Linked DNA regions of Oryzias latipes. The protein of the gene in region 1 interacts with the protein of each later gene in a biochemical or structural test. Links are inferred from orthologs where the notes say so. Each region holds a gene or a part of one and is shown on either strand. Other genes may lie near its edges. The genes, in order: mcm5 and mcmbp.

Region 1 (4,473 bases):
GCAGTGATGTTTTGGAGCTGTCGCTGGGCATCACAGACTTTCAACTCTCTCCAAAGAACTTTTATGGGGTTGGGACCTGGAGACTGGCTAGACCACTCCAGGACCTTGAAATGTTTCTTACAAAGCCGTTCCTTCATTACCCGGGCAGTGTGTTTGGGATTGGTAAATGGTAAATGGCGTATACTTATATAGCCCTTTTCTACCTTCTTCAAGGCCCAAAGCGCTTTACAGTCACAGACCCATTCACCCAGTCACACACGCATTCACACACTGGTGGCGGCTCTGCTGCTGAAAACTGGCACCAACCTCCCACCAAAGGCAAGGTGGGATTCAGTGTCTTGCCCAAGGTCACTTTGACTGACCATACATGGCCCCATTCATTCTTTCCTTTACACAAATCTGTCGTCCTGGTCCCTTTGCTGAAAAGCAGCCCCAAACATCATGTTTCCACCCCCATGCTTTAGAGTAGGTATGGTGTTCTTTGGATGCAACTCTGCATTCTTTCTCCTCCGAACCGACGAGTAGAGTTCTATCAAAAAGTTCTATTTTGGTTTCATCTGAACATAGGACATTCTCCCAATCCTCTTCTGGATCATCCAAATGCTCTCTAGCAAACTTTGGATGGGCCTGCACATGTACTGGCTTTATCAGAGGGACACGTCTGGCACTGCAGGGTTTGAGTCCCTGGCGTTGTAGTGTGTTTTTGATGGTAGCCTTTGTTACTTTGGCCCCAGCTCTCTGCAGGTCATTCACCAGGTCCCTCATGTGGTTCTGGGATTTTTGCTCACGGGGGAGCCCACGGGGGAGATCTTCTGGGGAGTCATAGATGTCATTTTGTCTCTCATAGTTGATGTATACCTATGATGAAAATTACAGGCCTCTCTCATCTCCAGTGGGAGAACTTGCACAAGGCTGACTAAATACTTTTTTGCCCCACTGAACATATTCAGATCTTATTTTGAAGCAGAACAAAGACAAAAGAGGTGCTAGAAGGCTGAAGCGTCATCCATCAGCAGCTGTAATGTTTTCCTATTAGGTTAACACATTTCACATTTAAGTTGCCTTATCATTGATAAAAATGTAACTTTATGTGGAAAAAGTTGCTTTAATTAACTCAAAATAAACTGTGCTTGCATGGGTTTCACTGTCTCACTTCAAATTCTACATCTAGGAGAAAATGTGTCATTAGGTTTCTCTAAGCTCGTGGCCCTTCTTTGTTATTTTGCTTTTCTGCTGTCGCCATGCTTCAGAAGCTCCTCCTCTTCTGTTTTTCGCGCCATCGCGACTCAGCGCCCCGCCTTCAGCTGAAGAGTTCGCCCATATCTACATGTTCGACAAATAAAGAAAAGCTATGTTTGAACCTGACCAATCAGAGTCTAGGAAAGGGGCGGAACTAGCAGAGAACCCGCGGGAAACAGAAAGGAAGACGCTTCAGTTTTTCCCGCGAAACGTCGTCACAAAGTCGGGTCCTTCCTGTCTGTTTGGCTCCAGAAAAGCACAACTTTTGGTGTCAGCTTCAGCCGCTTCAGCATGTCTGGCTTTGACGACCCCGGCGTTTACTACAGCGACAGCTTCGGCGGGGGAGAGGGACCCGGCGGGGACGAAGGTGGACAGAAGCGGGTCCAGATCAAGAAGCGGTTCCGAGAGTTCCTGCGTCAGTTCAGAGAGGGAACTGACCAAACCGGGTTCACTTACAAATACAGGTCAGGCTCCTTATGAACTCAAAGCGGTTCTCAAATCTGCATCTACTTTCAAAGTAAACGATAAGTGAAGTGGTGCTATATCACGAGGCAGTTGCATTATGGGAAATGTAGTTATATGATTAAAACATCTGCTTTAGAAGCTCAAAAGTCCTGATTGTCTCCTGTTGTTCCGCAGAGATGAGCTGAAGCGACATTACACTTTGGGGGAGTTCTGGTTGGAGGTGGAGGTGGAGGATCTTGCCAGCTTTGATGAAGATCTGTCTGACTGCCTTTACAAACTTCCTACTGAGAACCTGCCGTTGGTGAGTATCCTAGTTCACATTTTTATGCGGTCATGAAAGTCTGACTCACGACTAATGTATAGATAAAACGTATCTCTTAAGCTGGAGGAAGCAGCTAAGGAGGTGGCCGATGAGGTGACCCGACCCCGACCTGTGGGGGAGGAGGCGGTGCAGGACATCCAGGTCATGTTGAAGAGCGATGCCCACCACACATCCATCCGGAACCTGAAGGTACCTTAGGACCCTGCTGTGCCCGACGTTGCAGTCATTCCACACATGGATCACCTTTCTGTGTGTCTTTCCAGTCGGAGCAAGTGTCCCGTCTGGTGAAGGTCCACGGCATCATCATTTCTGCCACAGCAGTCAAGGCGAAGGCCACCAAGGTGTGCCTGCAGTGCCGCGGTTGCCGCAGCGTCATCCCCAACATCCCCCTGCCTCCGGGCCTGCAGGGTTACGCTCTGCCCAGAAAATGCAACAGGTGAGGAATCGCATTCCGGTCTCAGGTTGACCCTGCTAGACGACTCAGCCTCAAAACGACCTTCTGTGTTTTCAGCGAGAATGCTGGCAGAGTGAAGTGTCCCATGGATCCATACTTCATCATCCCGGACCGCTGCGTGTGCGTGGACTTCCAGACGCTCCGCCTGCAGGAGTCTCCCGATGCTGTGCCGCACGGAGAGATGCCGCGCCACCTGCAGCTCTACTGCGACAGGTAGCCATGGAGATCACCGGAGTCTGCTGCTCCGTTGCTTTTGCGGCACGCCACTGAGGTTTTCCTCCGTCCCCAGGTACCTGTGTGACCGCGTGGTCCCGGGCAACCGAGTGACCATCATGGGCATCTACTCTATCAAAAAAATGGCTGCTGTAAAGGCCAAAGGCAAAGAAAAGGGTATCGGCGTGGGAATTCGTTCATCTTACCTGCGAGTCGTTGGCATCCAGGTGGACACGGAAGGAGCAGGTAAAGATCCCGATGACAGGGTTGGTTGTGAGAAGCACATTGTTAGGTTTGGGGGGTCATTTTATCTTCTTGTTTCTTGGCTGCAGGCCGCGGCGCCACCGGACCCGTCTCTGCACAGGAGGAAGAAGAGCTGAGAGCGTTGTCTACCTCTCCCAACATCTACAGCTCCCTGGCGCAGTCCCTCGCTCCCTCCATCTATGGCAGCGACGATCTGAAGAAGGCCATCACCTGTCTGCTGTTTGGAGGCTCGAGAAAGAGGTACGGCGATAGAACGGTTTATTTCTTCATTTTTGTTGCTGCTGCAACGATGTTGTTTTGAAGCTAAGAGTCTGTTCTTGTGTCTGTTAGGTTACCTGACGGTCTCACGCGCAGAGGAGACATCAACCTGCTGATGCTTGGAGACCCTGGAACAGCCAAATCCCAGCTGCTTAAGTTTGTGGAGAGATGCTCACCGATCGGGGTATTTGTTTGTGTTTTTTTTTTTTTTTAATTATCCGGAGGGAAAAAAGTTCTGATGCTGACTCTCACTTGCAGGTTTATACATCAGGTAAGGGCAGCAGTGCAGCTGGGCTGACCGCCTCCGTGCTGAGAGACCCCAGCACTCGTGGATTCATCATGGAGGGAGGGGCTATGGTGCTGGCGGATGGTGGTGTCGTTTGCATTGATGAGTTTGATAAGGTAGGTCCAGGGTGAGCTGGGGGGCAGCATCGGGGTTGCTCGTCCTTCAGGCTGTTTTTCTCCTCAGATGAGAGAAGACGACAGAGTGGCGATCCACGAGGCCATGGAGCAGCAGACCATCTCCATCGCTAAGGTAACCGCCTTAAGTTTGACCTCCTTATTGGGCTTCATTGGAAAAATGCTAATAGTCTGCGGCCTTTAGGCTGGAATCACCACCACCCTGAACTCCCGCTGCTCCGTGCTGGCGGCGGCCAACTCTGTGTATGGCCGCTGGGACGACACCAAAGGCGAGGACAACATCGACTTCATGCCCACCATCCTGTCCCGCTTCGACATGATCTTCATCATCAAGGACCACCACGACCAGCAGCGAGACATGGTGAGAGGACGCGACGGGAGGTTTGATGCTTCAATTCTCTTTAGTGCTTCCGCTGACTTTGCCGCCTGACTCTGCTCGCAGACGCTGGCTCGCCACGTGATGAACGTCCACCTGAGTGCGCAGACGCAGACGGAAGGAGTCGAGGGCGAGATTCCTCTCGCCACCTTTAAGAAATACATCGCCTACGCCAGAGCGTGAGTCACTCATTCTGCAGCCAGACCGCTTTAAAGTTTAGTTTCCTGTGGATTTTGTGGAGTAAAGAGTGTGTTCTGCGTGTTCCCTCACAGTAAATGTGGCCCCCGACTCTCCGCGGCAGCTGCTGAGAAGCTGAAAAACAGATACGTGGTGATGAGGAGTGGCGCCCGAGAGCATGAAAGGGAGTCGGACAAAAGACCCTCCATCCCCATCACAGTCAGGTAACTGTCTCCACCCGTCTTTGAATCAAAAGCAGAAACGTGTGCCTTCGATTCCAGTCGG
Region 2 (4,596 bases), on another chromosome or scaffold:
TGCGATGTTTGCTGGAGGAGGCTGAAGAGGAACACTGAGGTGATGAGACGCTTTAAATGTTCTAAAGGAAGACCGACTCCCAGCAGGACTTACCGTGGGGAACGTGGACCCTGGCGGGGAGAACATCTGAGGTGGGGGGCTGAAAGAGGTCGGAGCCTGCTGGGGTGTGTGAGGTGGGGGCAGGATCTCTGGAGCTGGAATGTAAGGACTGGCTCTGCTGCTGGACGCCGTGTGGCGGTACGGGTTGTGATGCTGCGGCTGCATCTGAGCAGGAGGCGGGGTCATCGTTGTAGGGGGAGGAGTCTGTCGTCCCAGCGGACTCTGGTAAACAGCACTGCCAAACGTTGAGGGAGGGGGGTTCATTTGTGAAGCTGTGGATGGCGGAGACATGGCGATGCTGCTGGGAAAAGAAACGGGTCCAGCAGCGGTTAAGGTCGAGGAGCGTCCTGCTGGCGGGCATGGTGACTGACCAATACTGGCAAAGGGGTCAGAGGTCGTTACGGGGTTGGAGAAGTAGCTGAAGGTGGAGGAGGCCGCCGGCGGACCGTTGGCCGAGGTCTGACCCAGGAAACTGTCTTCTTCTCCAACGTCAGTAGAGTCTTCTGATGGACACAAAGACGGGTCAACGTTTTCTGACACTGAAACTGCAGGTCAGGGTTTCTGTGAGGCTTCTCTAAACATCAAACTTCAGGAGTGAAGCTTCACCGCCGTCCACAACATTTCCAGCTTTCTCCATATGATTCTAAACTTTTATGAGCACCATGACATCCTGTGTGATCCTTTCCTAAGTGGAAACGATCAAACAGGATGTTATCGAGTGGTTTTCAGGCAATAAGCATGTTGACTTCACTAAAATACATGTATAATATATAAATAAAATAAATCTCTAAAAGACAGATTCCAGCATTTTAACAACAACATTGTTTTAAATCTGAACAAAGTTCATCCATTTACAACTCTTCACTAAAAATGTTTAAACTGACTCATTTTCTTTTAACAAAAGCAGATCCAGTGTTGCAGATAAAACGCGTCACTTTTTCATCTTTTCTCTCAATCTGAGGGTTTTTAAAGGCTGAAGCAGCACAGCTAGCTAACCGGCTAGCTTAGCTAGCTAGCTCTCGCCCTGACAACATTCGGACCTCCGTCCGCGGTTCCGCTCACCTCCTGACAGCACCGCCGGGCCCGACGCCTGACTCACCGGCATGAAAGGCAGGTTAAAGCTAAAGTCTGGAGCGGCACTAAAGAGTAAATTCGCGCTGCTGTCGGGACCACTGTTATTTTTTCTATCTGCCATTTTCAGCTGGATTTACACGTAGCCACAACCGGACCAGGCTGGCAGTAAATGCGAAAGAAACGTCTCCTGACGTCACAGTTTTCCCCGATCTCCAACACTCACGCGACACTAGATTTCAGTAAACATCTTAGCAGATGTTTTATAAATCTTCGAAACATACCCGATTGGCTTGACCCGAGGGGATCAATGTTTTTGGTGCTGCCATCTAGAGGCCCGGATGATGATTCAAACTCCTTTGGTTTTTTTTTTGCACCTTTTTTCTTCTTTTGTCAGAACAAAGTAAAATCTCGTGAGAGATAACAAATTTCTACTTAATTTGTAACGACTTCGGAATCCAAACCAGTTTTTAGGGCGGTGAACAAAAGCAAAAAGTTGCTTGTGGCTCCGCGCTCCGGTTTACTCCGGTTCTCGAATCAAACCAACCCCCTCTTGGTGCGCAGTGACGCAAATTTCGCGCCTCGCTTCTGCAATCCCGAGTGAGTGAAAAACTTATCGGAGAAGTGAAGCCGCGCGGGTTTTCCTCGCACGTTTGTCTTTGATTCCACGGGTTCAGTGGCCGGTTAGCGATGCTTTCCACGCAGGACTGGATTCACGCACCTCTCGGTGTTGTTGAAGAGAAGTTTGGTGAGAAACTTCCCTCCACAAACACTTAACGCCTCAGACTAGCTCGTTAGCCGCGCGCGCGTCCAGCCGCCCTCACATGGAGCTTTTTTTTTTTCCTTTACAAACTTTATTAAATGTAACATTTCAATACACAACAATGCAAAACAGCAACAAGAAAGGAATAAACCAGGTGGTTATTATTACATTTCACACAAAGACACTGAAACTGACGCACTGGTGCCGCTGCCCGCGGTGCATCAGTTTAAAACTTTATTGACACAGTCGGTGGACATAGACGAGAATCGGGCGCGCGGAAACCTTTACTGACTGTAGAAATGTCGTTCGGGGTTCGTCAACTTTTTGTTAGATCTAAAGACGTTTTTGTTTTGTCATACTGGTTCTTTTGAAGTGACTTCATATATACAGTCTCTGATGATGACGAATTCCTTCATGAAGAACGAAACCAACAATCTTGAAGTTCATTAAACATTTACTTTATTTCATTTTTAATGCCAATGTGTTTGTTATTTTAACATTTTTTTTAAACGATCGAATAAAATGACACATTCACACATGTTAATATAAAATGCAAACCGTAGTTTAAACCTTCAGCAGCATTCATTTGCTGCCGGAAATGACGTCTTCCTTTGATGCTGCAGCGGCTGCGCAGAAGGGTTCCTCCCCCGGGTGGGAGGCGGAGGTGGTGGAGTTTTTTAAGGAGCAGCTGAAGGAGAAGAGCGCTCAGAGTTTGGTGAGGAGAGTCCTGCAGACGGCGTCTTCACCGGCCGTCCGGTTCTGACCTTGTCCTTTTCTGGACCAGGTTCCGTCTCTCAACGACGTTCCCCTGCATTACCTGAAGCCCAACAGTTTGGTGAAGTTTCGCTGCTTCATCCAGGACATGTTTGACCCGGAGTTCTACATGGGAGTGTATGAGACTGTGGACGGACCCACGGATGCTAAAGTGAGTGTGCCCCCCCCCCCCCCCCCACATCTCTAGCATCAGCTGACCCCCCTCCCCCTCATTTGTCCTGTTTGACCCCCAGATGCTGCACTGTGGGAAGTACAGGGATGTGGCAGAATGTGGGGTGAGTCTGCATCCTGCTGCTGTCCTCAAAGGTGGTGCAGCCGCTTCAGCTCAGCTGTTGGTTTGAATCCCAGGTGGACTTTAACTCCAAGAACACCGTGACGGCAGAGCGGCAGACCTTCTACTGTGTGCCCATTCCTGGGGAGAACCTGTGGGTGAAGGACATATCCTGGGATCAGGGATCAGGTTCTCTGATGACAGTGTGAACAGTTGTGTGTTGTTCCTTAACCTGAGAGCACGGATATGCGGGCAGCAGCCAGGCGCGCGTGGTGGCGTCCACCTCCTACGTGCCGAGCAGGCAGAAACGCAGCTACGAGGAGGACGAGGACATGGACACGCAGCCGCAGAAGCAAGCTCACGCAGGTGTTTGTCTTCGCCGTCTGCTGGGTGTCGAACCTTAGGCGTCCTCCCCCCTCAAACGTTCTCCAAATATTTCTGCAGGTCTTCAGGGTCCAACGGACCTGCAGAGCAACGCCGACTGTAAGCGTCAAGAGACGGAGGCTCCTCCCACCCAGGCGGCGTCCGCATCCCACCTCGACCTCAACTTCCCCCTCCCAGGAGAGAGGGGCCCCGCCTGCCTGGTGAAGGTTGGAGCTGGACGAGCGCGTTGGTGGCTCCGGTGGGAACCCTGATCCTCAGGCTGTGCTCGTTGGCAGGTGTACGAAGACTGGGAGAGCTTCAAGCTGAACGACGCCCTGGAGGTTTTCGGGATCCTGTCCGTCAGTCCCGCTCTCAGCGCCCTGGCGGAGGAGAGGTGAGGCCCTCGCTTCGTAGCCCCGCCCCCTGTCTGCGTGCTGCCCGTCTCACCGCCTTTCTTCCTCGCAGAGACGCCTCCTCGTCCTTCCTGGACCCCACGGAGGGCATGGAGACGGCGGAGGAGCAGCGTGTGCACAGCCCGCCGGCCTCGCTCGTTCCCCGGCTTCACGTGCTCCACGCCAAACCGCTGCAACACAACAACCCGCTGCTGCCGCACGCAACCTCGGACGACAACGGCGCCTGTAAGGACGCGTGTTTTTGTAGAAACAGAAATGATTCCAGACTAGAAGAAAACGCCGAAACACCAAAACCAGTAAATTCTGTCGCTTCCGTGGAAATTCATCAGCATCACGCAGGAACTCAAGACGTTTGACCTGGAGGACATCTGCCCCCCCCCCTGCTCCACCCTCCTTACACGTCTGCCCCCCCCTTCTCCACCCTCCTTACACGTCTCCCCCCCCCCGCTCCACCTCTTACACATCTGCCCCCCCTGCTCCACCCTCCTTACACGTCTGCCCCCCCCCCTGCTCCACCCTCCTTACACGTCTGCCCCCCCTGCTCCACCCTCCTTACACGTCTGCCCCCACCTGCTCCACCCTCCTTACACATCTGCCCCCCCTGCTCCACCCTCCTTACACGTCTGCCCCCCCCCTCCACCTCTTACACATCTGCCCCCCTTGCTCCACCTCCTTACACGTCTGCCCCCCCCCGCTCCACCCTCCTTACACGTCTGCCCCCCCCGCTCCACCTCTTACACGTCTGCCCCCTCCTCTCCACCCTCCTTACACGTCTGCCCCCCCTCCTCCACCTCTATACATCTGCCCCCCCTGCTCCACCTCTATACATCTGCCCCCCCGCT

The links.
Region 2: the proteins of mcm5 (region 1) and mcmbp form a complex in vitro, tested with the Homo sapiens proteins (2 studies listed by BioGRID). The link is inferred for Oryzias latipes from reciprocal best matches to the Homo sapiens genes MCM5 and MCMBP.

What each region holds. Positions count from the first base shown.
Region 1 is NC_019866.2:21,038,021-21,042,493, forward strand, and holds the start of mcm5 (DNA replication licensing factor MCM5), read left to right. Parts: upstream 1-1,376; 5' UTR 1,377-1,530; coding exon 1,531-1,703; intron 1,704-1,878; coding exon 1,879-2,005; intron 2,006-2,086; coding exon 2,087-2,215; intron 2,216-2,289; coding exon 2,290-2,462; intron 2,463-2,537; coding exon 2,538-2,693; intron 2,694-2,769; coding exon 2,770-2,939; intron 2,940-3,025; coding exon 3,026-3,197; intron 3,198-3,287; coding exon 3,288-3,399; intron 3,400-3,473; coding exon 3,474-3,617; intron 3,618-3,684; coding exon 3,685-3,750; intron 3,751-3,819; coding exon 3,820-3,996; intron 3,997-4,077; coding exon 4,078-4,190; intron 4,191-4,283; coding exon 4,284-4,412; intron 4,413-4,473. UniProt on the Homo sapiens protein: Acts as a component of the MCM2-7 complex (MCM complex) which is the replicative helicase essential for 'once per cell cycle' DNA replication initiation and elongation in eukaryotic cells.
Region 2 is NC_019873.2:29,884,473-29,889,068, reverse strand, and holds the start of mcmbp (mini-chromosome maintenance complex-binding protein), read left to right. Parts: upstream 1-1,707; 5' UTR 1,708-1,860; coding exon 1,861-1,918; intron 1,919-2,556; coding exon 2,557-2,648; intron 2,649-2,717; coding exon 2,718-2,858; intron 2,859-2,940; coding exon 2,941-2,982; intron 2,983-3,055; coding exon 3,056-3,145; intron 3,146-3,220; coding exon 3,221-3,344; intron 3,345-3,422; coding exon 3,423-3,568; intron 3,569-3,637; coding exon 3,638-3,735; intron 3,736-3,806; coding exon 3,807-3,979; intron 3,980-4,596. Other genes in the region: sec23ip (SEC23-interacting protein), read right to left, coding at 1-21, 94-602, 1,162-1,294. UniProt on the Homo sapiens protein: Associated component of the MCM complex that acts as a regulator of DNA replication.